Saccharomyces cerevisiae S288C: one gene and its partners. The gene in region 3 interacts genetically with the main gene of each other region. Each region holds a gene or a part of one and is shown on either strand. Other genes may lie near its edges.

What was found.
Region 1: mutations in TAM41 (region 3) and PMT3 together harm fitness less than expected from each alone (positive genetic interaction), as found in Saccharomyces cerevisiae (one large-scale study listed by BioGRID).
Region 2: mutations in TAM41 (region 3) and YEH2 together harm fitness more than expected from each alone (negative genetic interaction), as found in Saccharomyces cerevisiae (one large-scale study listed by BioGRID).
Region 4: mutations in TAM41 (region 3) and YIL108W together harm fitness more than expected from each alone (negative genetic interaction), as found in Saccharomyces cerevisiae (one large-scale study listed by BioGRID).

Annotation. Positions count from the first base shown.
Region 1 is NC_001147.6:914,118-919,157, reverse strand, and holds PMT3 (dolichyl-phosphate-mannose-protein mannosyltransferase PMT3), read right to left. Parts: upstream 3,129-5,040; coding exon 867-3,128; downstream 1-866. Other genes in the region: LDB19 (Ldb19p), read left to right, coding at 1-552; GNT1 (glucose N-acetyltransferase), read left to right, coding at 4,064-5,040. UniProt on the Saccharomyces cerevisiae protein: Protein O-mannosyltransferase involved in O-glycosylation which is essential for cell wall rigidity. Forms a heterodimeric complex with PMT5 and more rarely with PMT1 to transfer mannose from Dol-P-mannose to Ser or Thr residues on proteins.
Region 2 is NC_001144.5:181,082-185,340, forward strand, and holds YEH2 (sterol esterase), read right to left. Parts: upstream 2,325-4,259; coding exon 708-2,324; downstream 1-707. Other genes in the region: PSR2 (putative phosphatase), read left to right, coding at 1-400; IRC25 (Irc25p), read left to right, coding at 2,542-3,081; guanine nucleotide exchange factor SDO1, read right to left, coding at 3,093-3,845. UniProt on the Saccharomyces cerevisiae protein: Mediates the hydrolysis of steryl esters. Required for mobilization of steryl ester, thereby playing a central role in lipid metabolism.
Region 3 is NC_001139.9:582,993-586,552, reverse strand, and holds TAM41 (putative phosphatidate cytidylyltransferase), read right to left. Parts: upstream 1,659-3,560; coding exon 501-1,658; downstream 1-500. Other genes in the region: transcription factor TFIIIC subunit TFC4, read left to right, coding at 1-161; YGR045C (uncharacterized protein), read left to right, coding at 2,257-2,619; RME1 (Rme1p), read left to right, coding at 2,661-3,560. UniProt on the Saccharomyces cerevisiae protein: Catalyzes the formation of CDP-diacylglycerol (CDP-DAG) from phosphatidic acid (PA) in the mitochondrial inner membrane.
Region 4 is NC_001141.2:158,994-163,536, reverse strand, and holds YIL108W (putative metalloendopeptidase), read right to left. Parts: upstream 2,651-4,543; coding exon 560-2,650; downstream 1-559. Other genes in the region: PFK26 (6-phosphofructo-2-kinase), read left to right, coding at 1-259; COPII subunit SEC24, read left to right, coding at 3,372-4,543.

The DNA of each region.
Region 1 (5,040 bases), on a different chromosome or scaffold from region 3:
TCTAACGGTGCTAGTAACTCTAATATAGTGAGTGTTCCCACTGGTGCAGCACGTGTTTTAAGAATGCAATTCAGATTAACAGTCACTGAAAGATCTGGACTTGGAATCTCCTGGGACGAAGAAGTTCCTCCCATTTACCAAGATGTCGAGTTGCTCTCGCCACCATGTTACGAGCTCTCTATAAATAATGGAATCAAAAATAAACTTTATTCAACAATGAGTACTCCTGTTAGATCAGAGGATGATTTTGTGGGCGGCAGCGATGAAGATATTGGGAACTATGAGAGCCAAGGGCTCGAACCTGGTCCTAACGTACAGGAAGTAACGATCACACAAAATAAATTAACGATACCACCAACCGCACATCACTACCAGCCTGCTTCCTCTTCGCAAAGATCCCTTACCACAGTACAGTCACCACCACTGGAAAGTGTTGTTAGTGTCCAGGGTAGTGTACCTTTTCGTGGACATGTGTTGACACCACATAGCACAAGAGATATCAGAATACAAAACTTTTCCGATTTTCTAGATTCCAATAGAATAACCCAGTAGATTTTATAATATTCGTTAAAGGTATTTACCATATATTTTTATCTTAGATACCTGAAAACTACAAATCTGATCAATAAGCAAACCCTGACCATGATTTGATGCATTTCACAGATAACTACATACAGGCATTGTTTAACACTTGAGCATTTTTTTTCTCGTATTTTCTTAAGGCTGGACTGGATTAATATCTTCATTTCGTCGTAGGTACATAGCTTTGTTATGATAAAGAAGAAGGCATAAGTCGAAAAAGATATTTCGCGCATCAATTAACATTTTTTGTGTGGTGAAGAAAAGTTTTTGATCATTCTATATATCTATGTGTTACGTATATCTTCAACAATCTGCCACGTAGGTAGCCATGCCAAGTACGCGTAATCATCTACTGGACCATCCATCCCAAAACTAAAAGGAGAGAAATAAAAAAATCCAGCGATCACGATTGATCCGTATACAATATAAGCTCCTAGCCTTAGAAATTTTCCAGTGTTTCTTGTAGCCCAACGTTTGGTAATCATATCGAAGTAGTATGACAAGATCATTAAGGCAAAATAAAGGGTGGGCAGATAGTGGTGAGCGTATACAACTCTTGACATCACTACGAATGGCATATAATGTAAAAGCCAAGCAAGCAATGGATAAAAGGCTGCCATAACGAACACGTCACGTTCGACTGGATCGGATAGGATAACACATTGTCTCTGCCATTTCAGAGTTAAGAATATAACGTGTATTATCAGTGCGCAAACTGCGATGCTTGAGGGCCAGACGGACGCAGGAGATCCTAATAAGAAGTACTTTATAGATTTTTCACTCCATTCGCATAATCTTACCCCGACGTTCAAGGTTGGCCATTGCCAGGCAGATGAAGCTATACCATCAAACTTTTCAGGGTTTGGTACCAAAGCATTATTGGTTGCCATCATTGCTGAATTTAACTGCATGAAATTCCTGAAGAATGAAGTCTTCGGATATACGAAATCTTCTCCCTGTGGCAATCTTTCATTTTCATGTGTTTCGATATTCCACCAGGTTCTCTTATCCCTTTTGGAGGCGTGTTTTAAACAGACAACTTCACCTTGCCTGAAACCCCATTCTGGTAAATGTTTACCTGACTGAGCTAAATAGCAACCCAGTATAGAATTTTTAATACGGAAAGATGTGGATAGCGGGTGTAGTAGTGTTGGATCTTCTTCCCCTACTTGTTCCACGATTTCTATAATCCAGTTATCTTTGTAGTCACCTAAGTCTACATCTCCGTAAGCAGAAACTTCATATTCACTTTTCGATATAGGCGCTGGGACTTCATGGGTGTGTAGATTCTTGCCTGTTAGGCGATGCATTAATCTATACATTTCGCCACCCTTTACAAACTCAATTGTCTTGTTCTCAGCATCAGTCCAAGGCTCTACTCCTCTGATTCTTTGAAAAAACCATTCATTGTTAGCATCACTGTAACCATAGACAGTTACTTGCTGTTGCTCAGAACCTTCTGGGAATGGTTGGACATGAGAATGTAATAAAGCGCCTCCCAACGCTTGATTTTTGATGGAAATAATAGAAGAACCCAAAGCAACATCACGTGGTCCCTTACCAACTTTTGTACCGTTCAGACTGGCTTGAAATAATGATGGCATGGTAGAGTCGCCGGGCCCTGAGTTGGACAGCAGATCAAAATGGATTTTGAAGCATAACAAAAAAACGCAAACAGGAATGATGATAAGCCCGAATATTCTTGCTAGCCAATGGTTGACATAAACCTTCCAAGACACCGATCTATCACTTAGGAGATTCCATAGTTCACTGATGGTGTAAATTCCTACTACACTGATGATGAAAAGACCTACCATTTTCACAGATATAGCGCAACCCAAATTCAACCCAGTGAGGCACAACCATAGCCACCACCTAGCCGAAAAGGGAGACTTTCTCATAGTATGGAACTTGGCAAGGCAAAAGTAAGAAGAGACGGTAAAGAAAAGTAGCATTGAATCAAGGAGAATGAACTTGCCTAATGTTGCATACGAATTCTCAAAAATTACTAGAATGGTAAATAGCCAAACACTCAGCCTAGAAAATCCGATAGCCCTTCCTGTGAAATAGGCTAGTGGCACACACAATGATGAAAACATTGCTTGAAATAACCTCATTTTCACATAATCGATATAGTCGGGATAAACCTCACCAGATGGGAAGTCCCAAGAACCATTGTAGCCAGCCAAATAACCAGACAGTCCAACAAGCATTTTACCTAAAGGTGGATGAACATCATGGTAAAATTCGTGTCTCAGATAGTAAGAGCCGAACTTACCAAAATGAGCTTCATCCCAGACCACATGATTATTACGACCAATCTTGTACATTCTAGTGAACATGCCCAGTACCGTGAAAATGATCGGCATAACTATGGTATCCAGGTGTGATACTGCACTCTCGTTCTTGACTTTATCATACAACTCGGCATCATCCTTTAAAAAGTTGTCAGCATCCTCGAGTTCCTCTTTTACTATTGGCGTTCTCCATATCAAATCATCGTCAGTACTTTTTTCACTGTAGCCCGTCGCCACTCTGTACGGCATTGTCTGTTATTTTATTTGCCGGTATTTGGAGCACACAAATATTTGTTTTACTCTTATGTCGAAAGGAAGAGTTGGAATGCCCTTCTTTAGAGATTTTCTATTGTACACCGGCCAGGTGGCCTATTATATTTGCCTTTCCTCGCGTCGCGATTTTCAATTAAAGGGCGCGAGTGCCTAATCTAGATCTGAGCTTTGTTCTTAAACGAGTTCTTACAGGGTGGTAACTCATTCATTCTTTACATATCCATTTTCGTTAACGCAAACATTCGTCAAGTCATCTGGAATACTAACCCGGGACAGGTTCCTTTTAGCTGTAATGCCTCTAGGATGATTACTATAAAGAAATGTAACATACTTACAGAAAAGGGAAGTATTCTCTTAACAAGGCAGAAATTAAGAGAATACTACTTAGGAGAGTAAACCTGTTGAATTTTTAAGCCGCAGTAAACGTTTGTATTCCTTAGTTATGAGGAAGTTCAAGTAAACAGATTACTTACTTTTTTAGTAACATCCGGCAACCGTACCAGAATTATTACATTTATTCCAGAAGCATTTTCAAAAGTTTATTGCATTGGTATTCATTGGTAAGATCCATTCATTTGGAGAATATGCTTATGATACTTAAAAATTGGAAAAATAGCCGCCATCAACGTTTTAGGGTTGCTCAACATTGGCGTTTAGGGTTTTGATAAAATGTAGGGCTTTTTAAAATATCACTTGTATACTCTCTCGTTCCGCTCAGCACGCGACCGTTTGAGCAAAACTAGCATCTGGTACACTATAAACTAGTGCTCGGTTCTCGTTCATTAGTGATGATCGTACTGTATCAGGCTGGTGGATTAGTCGAAATCACCGGGAAACAAATACCGACCACTTGTGGACAACATTGTGACATTATTTGCTAAACTGTATACTTCGGAACTATCATTCCAATTATGAGGTTGATATCCAAAAGAAGAATCAGATTTATTGTGTTTATTTTGTTCGGCGTCCTCACTGTATTCGTAGTATCAAGACTTGTTGTTCATTTTCAGTATAACCAAGAAATAAAGTTCTATAAAAAGTATTTTCAACAGAGGAAGGATGGGCTTCACGAAATTTACAACCCATTAGAAATCAAGCAAATACCCAAGGAAACGATAGATGACTTATATACCGCCCGTTTAGATAAAGAGTTGAAAAACGGTGAGGTCATCGAGTGGTCCAAGTTTGCATACGTGAATTATGTGACTAATGCTGATTATCTTTGTAATACGCTGATCATATTCAATGATCTGAAACAGGAGTTTGAGACAAAGGCCAAGTTAGTTCTTCTGATATCTAAAGATCTGCTAGACCCAAACACTTCCTCAAATGTGGCTTACATTAGTTCACTCCTTAACAAGATTCAAGCTATAGATGAGGACCAGGTAGTTATCAAGTTGATAGATAACATTGTGAAGCCAAAGGATACTACACCTTGGAATGAAAGTTTAACAAAATTACTAGTATTTAACCAAACAGAATTTGACCGTGTGATTTATCTTGACAACGACGCAATTTTAAGATCAAGCTTGGACGAATTATTTTTCCTACCAAATTATATCAAATTTGCAGCTCCATTAACATACTGGTTTTTATCTAACAGTGATTTGGAAAAATCATACCATGAAACGCGACACCGTGAAAAGCAACCAATCAACCTCCAGTCGTATACAAAAGTGCTGACTAAAAGAATTGGGAAAGGTCAGATGATTTATAATCATTTGCCGAGTTTGCCGCATTCATTGTACTTGAATTCTAATAACATAGCTCAGGACATTATAAGTTCTACATCATCTTTATCGCCGTTATTTGATTTCCAAAGTAGTAAAAAGGTTGGAAAATTAAAATTTGCTTCTAATTTAATGGTTATTAATCCTTCAAAGGAGGC
Region 2 (4,259 bases), on a different chromosome or scaffold from region 3:
TGTTATTAAGAGGCCAGGCGTCGATGAGTTCTTGAACAGGGTGAGTCAACTATACGAAGTTGTTGTGTTCACGGCAAGTGTTTCGAGGTATGCAAACCCCCTTTTAGATACGTTGGACCCTAATGGAACCATCCATCATCGATTATTCAGAGAAGCTTGTTATAACTACGAAGGTAACTACATCAAGAACTTATCGCAGATCGGAAGACCATTGTCCGAAACAATCATCTTAGATAATTCGCCGGCCTCTTACATCTTTCATCCGCAACATGCTGTTCCGATATCTTCTTGGTTCTCTGATACTCATGATAATGAGTTACTAGATATTATCCCACTTTTGGAGGACCTTTCATCAGGAAACGTGTTGGATGTGGGGAGCGTGTTGGATGTGACGATATAGATTTCTCAGTAACATAAAAAGCAGGCTCTTTTTATTACCCCCCCCTTCGGTTATATGTTTGGACGAACTCATGTTTCTCTTTTTATACAGAAGACTTCACCGGATATTTATAAACTTAATGAATTAATTTGCTTATTACATGTATCAATTGTACTTTACGTGTAACATCTACAGATACATATATCCGTATATACTAGCATATATATAAATATATACTCTATACATATATCTATTTATTATGCTTTTCTTTCCTCTTTTTATGGCATATTATATTTTACAAAGAAACCACAAAGAAAAAACTTTTACCTCACCTTGCATTAGGAAACCTCAAATTTTCTATCATTGGCTTACCAATTCTATCTATAACATCATGCGCCCATAAAACGTCCAGATGGGAATACTCATCAATATACCAGATTTTGTACACTGCATTTGCTTCATGATTAATGAAGTGATTAATTAATCGTTCACCATCTACTAATCTATCTTGCTTTGGAATAAACATTATAATGTGTGGAAATTCTTCACTATTTTGTCTTTTCGGATTTAAGTGTAGTTTGTTGTTATCCAAATTATTGCCACTGTCATCATCATTCTTGGCAATAGGAAACCATGTCTTTTTATCTGGAAAAATTTTCTCTGCACCCTTCTTAAAACTTAGCTTATTAGGAAGAGGTGACAACCACCATTGCATTAGTTTGACGGAAATATGGACTGGTGAAAATAAGAAATTTCGGTCCCTTAAAACTCTATCCCATAAGACATCGTTCCAATCAAATAGGTAGTTAAACATGATGTATGAGAGGAACGAAAAAATCTTGGTCCCAACCATTAGTTTTCTCATTGTCATCATAAGAGGTATAAACGATCTTCTACCAAAGTACCACGGAGAATCAATACCTTTTGCCATTAGCCTCACAAATGCTTTTTCATCCAATAAAGGTCCAGGGTACACTGCAGGTGCCAAAGCAACAAAGTTTTCCAGCTTATCGACTAATTTAAAATCACTTGCGTATAGTTTCTCACCGTTGACAAGCCCCATAAACCCTTGTGTTGTACCTTGTGAATGCGCCACGAGCGATAGTTTAGCATATCCGGTACTATCAAGTACATAATTTATAAGTGCTTTTAAATCGTATTGAACCATCTGGTGCATATCCCAATCCCATTTTTTGGAATGATCATTACCTAATTTTTTCATGTTCCACTTGGCATTTAAGCCACATCTGTTATTCCCCAACCAAACATCAAATCCAGATTCATAAAGGAAGTATGCCAGAGATTTTCTACCTGAAGATGCGAAGGCCCCGCAACTTTGCAAAAGACCGTGTAATAGCAAAATGGGTTCACGTTTCACTTCCTCTACGCCATCGTTTAACCTGGACTTGAAGTGCCACAAATCAATGATAAAACCGTCGTCTGTCTCCACCTCAAATTCTTCAATATCAATACCATACTCTTTATAATAGTACTTTAAGTCAGGTACCAGCTTGGTATCCTCCGCAAGCGCAATGTTTTGGAAGGGATTCTCTGCAGCATATGGGGCTTGGTTCACATTCGTTTCCATTTTAATATTAGCATTTCCATCACCGTTCTCTGATAAAGAGGCATTACTAGTCATGGACAGCTTGCTAGTCACAGTACGGTCATATTCAATATTATTTTCCTGATCCCGCTGTAAATCTAAGGGCGTTGTGGAAGATATTGACAAAGGTCTAGAGTGACGTGCTGGTCGTTTCTTCTTCTTGTCATTTGGCTGGATCTTGGTTCTCGAACTTCTTGTATCTCTTGGATCATTTTTATGTTGGAAATGAACTGTCACGTAATTCTTCCATAGTGACAAAATGAATAACCCCGTCATAAACGAAGTGAGAATTATTGCGCTCACCAACCGCTGAACCTCATCAACCACCTTATTTACCATGCTTATCGTAAAGGTGCCACGGGGATCCCAATGATAGTTGAGTATTTCCCAACAATTTTAATTATACCTTTGATGAGAAACATTTGCGTACTATTTGTGTGAAAAAAAATGAAGAACTTAATGCGCGAATTATTGGGATAACAACGCCAATGGTGAATCAAAATATTAACAATGACAAAAAGAATGGGCTATTTTTGTACAAAATACTGTTGCAAATATGATATCATATGAATTCCAAACTCATCTACCGAAAGGAAAAGATAGCTCATTGAACGCTTCATCCGAAAACAAAGAATTGTATGTACAAGCCACGCACTTTAATAACACAATTCTATTGCAAATCAGACTAAATGGGGAAATGGATTCCACCTATGAGGTATCTTCAAAAGGACTAAACCCAATTCTCGATATCAACGTACCACTGGCAGGAAACCTAGGAAACACGGGTGGCGATTATGACGATGAGGAAGAAGAATTTGTAAGAGACCATTTATCTGATTATCAAGTGGTTACCAAGTTGGGAGATAGTGCCGATCCTAAAGTACCCGTGGTATGCGTACAGATTGCCGAACTATATAGGAGAGTTATTCTACCAGAAGTGAGCGGTACGATGGCCCAAGACAACATGCAATTCAGCTTGCTGATATCCATGAGCAGTAAGATATGGAGAGCAACGAAGGAACAAAGCGCTGACGATAATGATTTTGGCAAATTAGTTTTTGTGTTAAAGTGTATCAAAGATATGTATGCAAAGTGATTCTATATAAATTAGTTATGCGTTGTATTATCTATGACTGCCATATCCAAGACTTGCACAGTTCCCTTTTTATCACATAGGGTCATCAAATCTCTATAATTGACAGGATCGATAAGACCTGTACATGTCCAAGGATCCAATTCCGGCTTCGTTGACTCTCCAGGCGATGAAGCTATCAATTTACTAATCTTCTCAATAAGTTCGGGTTGTCTAGATGGCTCACTTATGGCCACTTTGACTTTCATCTTCGCCCTTACTATTGGAATAATTTGCTTAGAAACCAATAATTTGATAGCCTCTAAAGCTTGCAATTTGGCAGGTTTGTTAATAACAGGGCTGAACTTCAGTTCCTGTAAAGCTTTGTGGATCATTGTGGGCGGATATCTTTTCTTTGACACAGGATTTATACATTTAGCGCTAACTATTGTAAGCATTTCGTTATTAACTTTATTAAGCATTAATTGTCTTTCTTTTTCCGATAATTGAATCTCTCCCTTATGCATGATCTCCTCGATGACATCATCAACATTTGTAGTCCCGAAACACTTTTGTAGATCTTCCTTATTAGCAACCAAGCCTTTCGAAACATTCATGAAAACTTGATGTATCTGCAGCACTTCATCCAGATCTTTTTCAATTCCTTTTCGATAGTCTTGGACCTTATTTTGGTAGCACGCGACTTCAAATCTCTTGCGAGCCTTTTTTAATCTCACTAATGAAACATTAGTTAACTTAATCTGTCCCGACGGTTGATTGATAGGCATTGCGTGTTTTACCTTTTCTTTCTCAGAACTATTTTAGTAAAAATTTTAAAAACTTTTACTACTGCATGAAATCACTTAAGTTCGGCCTAGAAAAATTTTTTCATGAACATTATTATATATACAAGGCACTGAGCAGAACAATACACGCTAAGTTTTGTTCTTTCATGAGGTCATAATAAGTTAAATAACAGTCAATACATAAATGCAAAACTAAAAGTACACAGTTTTATTATTTTCTTTTCGTCGTAATGTAGTTTTTATAATCAGTCAACTTTTTTTTTGCTTTTAGATTTCGTTTGTTCCTTTTGTCTTTGGATCCAAAGTTTCTTGAAAATGTAGCCAAAACAATGCCAGCAGGAATATCGAAAAAGATGGGTATAATATAAGTAAAAAAAAAATTTTAACAATGAAATA
Region 3 (3,560 bases):
GTCTGGTATCGATTGCAATTGAGTACTATAATAGAGTTCTAGAAAACTACGATGATGGAAAGTTGAAAAAACATGCTGCCTATAACAGTATTATAATATATCAGCAAAGCGGAAATGTTGAGTTGGCCGACCACCTCATGGAGAAGTATTTAAGTATTTGAGAACTTGTTTAAATATTTTAAACTATAAAGTATAATTGTAATATAACCCTTAATAATAGAAATATATAGAAATACCCCTTCAAATGCTACAATGTGTTCGTAAGTACGACATCCATTGCATATACTGGAACGTATGATCCCCCTTCCATAATGCAAGTAAGTCAGTTTGAATGCCAATATGGGATAATGTATATTATCTAGAAGAAGGTAAAAATAAAGATGAATAAATATTGACCGACGCCAGAGATTTGGAATGTGAATAGAGCGATTCTTCGAAAGAGATGAAAGGACGATAAAACATTTTTGATAAAAGATAATGTGTAGATAACATTGGATACACTAGCTTCTCCTCATCGATTTTAGTTTTTTGGCCCAAGCATACTTAATTGACTTTGTGATTCCAGCTGTGAAAACACCTTTAATAGTTTGTAATGCACTTGATTTACTAATACGGCTGAGCAAAAGTCTCTGAGTATTCTTTAATGTGAACCCTTTTGGAAGATAAAATGAATCATTTAGGACCACTTCTTTGTAAATCGGCTTGTAATACTCTTGAAATCTTTCAAAGTTTTTGGTAACAATGTTGTTAACTTTGTCGGGATTTTCTCCACCCAGTTTGTATCTAATATCACCTGCATAACTTAAGGCAGTGATCTCCTTGTAAAATTGGAATTCGTCAAACTTATTGTTATTTTTCTCTAAGGTGTAATGTTTGGCCAAAGTAGCTGCAGCTTTTAAGTTTAATTGGTTCCAATATTGCACTCTCAAATCATTCTTCAATATTTTTACAGGCTTTTGTAGTCGTCCTGCTAAATAGAATGTATTCCAAGTAGCTATGTCCTTTAAAAGTGTTTCCATAGAAACCACCCCATATTTTACGTCGTGTCCATTTATATTTGCAAATGGATTAAAATATACGCCTGCGCCGATCTGTTGAAATTTAGACACGAACTCGGAACCGAAGTATTTCAAACTTGAATAATGTTGCGGATTCTGCCTCATATTAATAGAGTGAAAATGTGATGGATATGTGACGCCCAAGATTATATCGATTTGAGGTTTGCTATGACTTTTGGAATATCCCGCTTGTTCGAAAACTCCTGAGCCGTAACCAAATACAAACCGGCACGGAGCTTTGAAGGATGACATTACCCCATCCAGTTCCTTTTGAAGTTCCTTATCGATAGTAATGAGCTGGTTACTTCCATAGTTGGGGGGCAATCTGTGAAACTTGTACATATAATTTGTAAAATTGGAAGTCATTTCGTCAGTTTTTCTTATACCTTTTTCCAAGAGGTCCAGATCACTGCCTTTAGTAATTCCCTCGATGTAGTGATTCGGCCTTTCGTTAATAGTTCCATCGGGGATAATGCCAGCATCATCTATGGAACTTCTCCCCTCCTTTATTTGAGTACTCAGAAGCCTATTAAACATGCTTACGTTCGTTGAATGGCATTTCAGCAGAAACCGTAGACCATTTTCAGAAACTCGTAACATAACTTCAGGATATATCAAAGTAAAAAGCAGCTCCTATTAATTCAAATTATTAGCTCAATCCTATAGCAACGTTTCTCAAGTTTAATTGTTTTGAAGGTTTTAGAACCTTTTTCACATTATTTAGTCCGTCGAAACATCTACTCTTTACTATTTATGGCTAAACAGGCTGAAGGGTATGATTTCTTTTCTTTTCTTTATTCATGTCGGGTAAGAGAAGGTCACTTGACCTATGATGTGGGGGCAAATAATAACGTGGGAATAACAAGCGCGCTACTGGTAAGTGAAAAACTAAGATAACAGTTGAATTTCGTGTTTAGATGCTATAGAGAGTCTGGTACAGCATTGGCGATTTAAGACTTCTCTAGTCCACATTTCTTAAATTCAAAATCACAAGCGCCTGTTAACGATCATTTTATAATCTACGATGTGTAAATGCAAAAAGTGCTTTCCTCCCTCTTTAGTTTGGACAGGGATAGTGGGTAAACGAGTAGCATTATGAGTGCATACATTGCCAGAAAGAAACCGCAAAGCGGCATATCTTTTTTCTTCTTTCTGTTGTAAGGGATGCTTCGTCACGTAAAATGGCCGCCGGAGTGAGATGTCACAGATTACATCAAAAGGTCGGCGTATACTGGATAAGAAAATCCGAACTTTTCCGGTGGGCTTTACCAGCAGAAAAGTGGCCGGGCATGTATTAAATATATCACCGTATTTTCTGCTGGCTTTTTCTTATGCAGAGAACAAAGGCCAGAGTGCCTTCGAGGAAATTAAAGGGAGCAATGTGATAGATATGTCCTGTGTCATTTGCTTCAATTTTTCCTGCCATTTATTTGTAGTTATATTTATATCTAGATCAACCGAAACTATACCAACGACGAAGCTGCTTCTTAGTAAATATATTTTCTACTGTGTCAACGCATTGGAACTGACATTGTTCTTATCCTATAAGTCATACAGTTGAATTTGTTAATTCTTTACTAGAAGTTGGGATTTTCAGCACTTATGTCACCGTGTTATGGACAAAACAGTGCCATCGCCAAGGGGTCTTGGAACAGAGAGGTTTTACAAGAGGTGCAACCGATTTATCATTGGCACGATTTCGGGCAAAACATGAAAGAATATTCGGCATCACCCTTAGAGGGGGATTCCAGCCTGCCTTCCAGCCTGCCTTCCAGCACTGAGGACTGTTTACTACTATCATTAGAAAACACAATCACAGTTATAGCCGGAAATCAGAGACAGGCTTATGACTCTACGTCGTCTACTGAGGAAGGTACAGCACCTCAATTACGGCCGGATGAAATAGCGGACAGTACACACTGTATCACGTCATTAGTTGATCCGGAGTTCAGAGATCTTATTAATTATGGACGTCAAAAAGGAGCAAATCCTGTATTTATTGAGAGCAATACAACAGAACAATCCCATTCACAGTGTATTCTAGGCTATCCCCAAAAATCGCACGTGGCACAGCTATATCACGACCCCAAAGTACTCAGCACAATTTCCGAAGGGCAAACAAAAAGAGGAAGTTACCACTGTTCTCATTGTTCTGAAAAGTTCGCAACGTTAGTTGAGTTTGCCGCGCACTTAGACGAATTCAACCTTGAAAGACCGTGTAAGTGTCCCATAGAGCAATGTCCCTGGAAAATATTGGGTTTCCAACAAGCAACTGGTCTGAGAAGACATTGTGCTTCCCAACATATAGGAGAGCTTGATATAGAGATGGAGAAATCATTAAATCTAAAAGTAGAAAAATATCCAGGACTGAATTGCCCATTTCCTATCTGTCAGAAAACGTTTAGGCGCAAAGACGCCTATAAGAGACATGTGGCCATGGTGCATAACAACGCTGATTCAAGATTTAACAAGCGTTTGAAGAAAATTTTGAACAATACCAAA
Region 4 (4,543 bases), on a different chromosome or scaffold from region 3:
CAGGGTTGTTCCAAATCAAAACAACGTGAATCCTCTTTTGGCTAACAACAATAAAGCGGCTTCTAATGTACCTAATGTAAAGAAGTCAGCGGCTACACCAAGGCAAATTTTTGAAATAGATAAAGTGGACGAAAAGTTATCCATGTTGAAAAATAAAAGTTTTCTATTACATGGAAAGGATTATCCTAATAATGCTGATAATAATGACAACGAAGATATAAGGGCAAAAACCATGAATCGCAGCCAAAGTCACGTTTAAAATAATATGAAAAAAAAAAAAAAAAAAAAAAATCAGAAATATTTTATGAATTATTCAAATAGACTAATGAAGTGATAAAACCAACCTTTTTTTTTCTTCTTTAAGGTATATTGTTCGACGCAATCATGAAGTGTTGCGGTTTTTTGTTTATATTTTTCTATAACTGTTTTCCTTTTTCCCAAAGAATTATGCAAATGAAGAATATCTACGTATATATGGAAAATAATTTAATAGATATATTTTGATATGACTAAGTTATGAAATAGAAAAAAATAAGAAAAAAAAAACCTTGACTAATTACTATAAAGCTCCGTAAATAATTCCGAAGGCGTCGACCCATTGACCGACTCTGCCAGTCACACCTAGGATATATTGGCCATTAGGTGGCTGCAATTCAGCGAACCCACCTCCGTCTTTGTTACCAAACATGTCGGTCATTCTCCCATGACTCGTTATAATTTGGATAGCATCAACCCAAGCTCCGCACCTCAGATTAAACCCAATGATTATTTCACCCGGTTCTAGTGTAGCATCCGTAAAATTTTGTGTTTCATGTCCAAAGAGTACACTTTTTAGATTTTCTTCGTTTATTGAAGCATGATTTTTGATACTATGTGTAATTTTTGAGAAATAATTTCTTGGTGGTACAGAGGGCTTGGATGCGGGAGCATCCTTTGTTCCAGTTGGTTTTTCCTTGTAATAAAACCTCACACCATCTAATGCATAGCCATGGTATATTCTCACAGCAGTGACTAATCTAACATCAAAAGCGACGACGCCGACAGCATTACCACCGTCGCTGCGACCATAAAGTGGTGATTTGATACCTTGAACATTTTTAGAAAACCCATATTTCGACATGTCTAATGGCTGAACATCTAACAAAGATGGGAACTTGTCGAACTCGGTTTCCGGTGCATTAACAGAAAGAATTTTCAATTTGAAGGTATTGCCAAACTTGGCGAGTTCATTCTTGGGCAACCTGGCACGTAAATCATCTAATGTTACTATAACTTCCCGTTGAGGCCCCTGTCCACCTAGGGAAACCGGCAAGTATTCAATATGGCCCCTGGCCAAATCATCACATATAATTTCAATCAAATAGATTCCTGTGGGCGATAATATGCGGCAACTGCCGTTACCCAAAGGATATACAGAGTGTTTTATATTGGGGTATCCGCCCAATTTTGTAGGTCTCATGAACGATGGATCGTAATAATCCTGTGGTAAAGTGAAAGAGGGGTGGTACAAAAATCTTACCGTATCGAGACGGTTCCAGGTACATTCTTCCTTGGGGAAGATGGGAGGACTAGCACCAGTTGAATTAGTTCTTACAGAATAAGCCTCTTTAGTCAAGAAAGACCTATTCAAAGTGGTATAGCCTCTTAGCATAACACCGCTTTCCTGATGAGGACAACCCAGTAAGTGACCAATCTCATGCATAAATGCTCCCAACGTGATAGTCAAACATTCCCAGTAAGTACCACACTCATTACAGTCGTTGGCGACTTCACTGGTGGAGGATCTTGTCTCATCAGTAAAATAAGGCACCAATTGCTCGAGACAAGTAGGCCATGAGTAAAGCCCGTGCGACCCAAAAATGGCGAGCTTAATGCTGTCGTCACCCCCACCCAATGCGGCGTGGCCTCTAATCAACTTACCATCCCAGTGGGTGTCTAGAAACATACAAGCTGCCTGAACAGGCTTTTCGTTATTGGTGAAGGGTCCGCCGTAACTTTTAAGGGCGTCCATGGCTATCCCAAAAAGGGCGCCGGTGTTTTTCCCTTTGGAATTCTGTTGAGCTATGTCAGGGTCCTGGATTTCCTTCACCGTCTTTTCCGAACGAACTACATGTATTTTGATGGTGTTTCTCATAGCAGGCCGTTCGAACAGCGTGTCCCAGGTAAATTCTTCAACAAAGGGAAACGTCCTATTTCCCATACTGTTTCTCAGCATTTGCTCGTTCGTGTACGCTTGCATGAGTCTGGCCCCAAGTCTTAGCTTCTTGATTGCCAATTCGAGGCCATTCCCGCCCTCTCTGTCCTTCTGTTCTCGAGGAGAGTCAAACTGTAAAGGCGAATCCTTGGCCAAGATCAGACACAGGTGTACGGGAGGGTTCTGCGTCAGTGGTGTGTAGTAACATACGATTGTCCTAGCGGTGTTAGTGTCTGTAACAAAGGTCAACTTGTTCTCACCAGGAGTCAATATCACAGTGGCCTTGAAGAACTGATTATGTATGGGGTAAGTAATTGGAGGCAATTGTGGATGCTGCACTTGAACGGTCTTCGCACCATTTTGCTTATTGCATTTTCCGTGCACGATAAGACAAGGAGAAACGATTTGCTCGTTCTCTCTCAGGTTGAATAGATCAATATCCTTCGAGCCTACCATTTATTTCTTTCTCTTCGAACTACTACTTCCTTTTTTTTTTTTTACTGTATACGATCTAATAATAAGAAGAAAGAAGAACTCCTTTTAAATTTCCTTTTTCTCTCTATTTTCCGGCGACCGCTACTCTTAAACGTCCAAACCAAAAAAAGATCGAGAGAATTGACTGCGCCAAGACACATGAACTTCTGAAACCTAAGAAAGCCTGACTGTTCCTAAGGTGATCTATATTTATATACAACATCATGCTCTTAAAAGAATAGGTTACGTAATTAATTGATGGAAAATTTCAGCAAATTTCCGCCTAGAATGCCGGGTAACAAAAAAGTAATTAGTGCTATGTTTGGGTGATAGAATCGTGTCACAAATATACATAGCACTGACAAGTGTGCATTTTGCACTAACCACTGCTATAAGTTTTTCAGCTTAATGCAGTCTATTCAGGCACTATCTGGGCTTGAAAAACAGTCTTGGACATGGCCACTGGAGCAGATTTGTTAACGCTTAGCTGTTCTCTTTTTTTTTTTCTTGTTTTTTCCATTTACGGCAGAAGAAAATGAAAACTGGAAGAACGAAAACGAAGAAAAACAAAACTATGTAAGGAGGATGGTACATCAGGAAACAGGCCAAAAATAGCACTACAAAAAGGTTTTATCTGGCACTCAGGTCCATTTTTGCCGCATTGAAACAGACATAAATATATAAGTCTGAGACCATCTGCAAAATGTCTCATCACAAGAAACGTGTTTACCCACAAGCTCAGCTCCAGTATGGACAAAATGCCACCCCTCTACAACAGCCAGCACAATTCATGCCTCCGCAGGATCCTGCTGCAGCTGGAATGAGCTATGGTCAGATGGGAATGCCGCCACAGGGTGCAGTCCCTTCCATGGGGCAGCAACAATTCCTAACCCCTGCTCAAGAACAGTTACACCAGCAAATTGATCAGGCCACCACTTCCATGAACGATATGCATCTGCACAACGTACCGCTAGTCGATCCTAACGCTTATATGCAGCCACAGGTTCCCGTGCAAATGGGCACACCTTTGCAGCAACAGCAACAACCAATGGCAGCGCCTGCGTATGGCCAACCTAGCGCCGCAATGGGCCAAAACATGAGGCCCATGAACCAGTTGTATCCAATCGATCTGTTGACGGAATTGCCTCCTCCAATTACCGATCTGACCTTGCCTCCCCCACCGTTGGTTATTCCTCCAGAAAGGATGTTAGTTCCTTCTGAATTGTCCAATGCGTCTCCAGATTATATCAGGTCGACCTTGAACGCCGTTCCTAAGAACAGCTCCCTGCTGAAGAAGTCTAAACTTCCATTTGGGCTTGTTATCAGACCATACCAACACTTGTACGACGATATCGACCCGCCTCCATTGAATGAAGATGGACTTATTGTCCGTTGTCGTCGTTGTCGTTCTTACATGAACCCTTTTGTCACTTTTATCGAGCAAGGCAGAAGATGGAGATGTAACTTTTGTCGTCTGGCCAATGACGTTCCTATGCAAATGGACCAGAGCGATCCAAACGACCCAAAGAGTAGATACGACAGAAATGAAATCAAATGTGCTGTGATGGAATATATGGCCCCAAAGGAATATACTCTAAGACAACCACCTCCAGCCACTTACTGTTTCCTGATCGATGTCTCCCAGTCCTCTATCAAGAGTGGGTTACTGGCCACTACCATCAACACCCTTTTGCAAAATCTTGATTCCATTCCAAACCATGATGAAAGAACCAGAATTTCCATCTTATGTGTAGACAACGCCATTCACTACTTTAAAATCCCATTGGATTCTGAAAACAATGAAGAGTCCGCCGATCAAATCAACATGATGGATATTGCCGACCTGGAAGAGCCTTTCTTGCCCAGACCAAACTC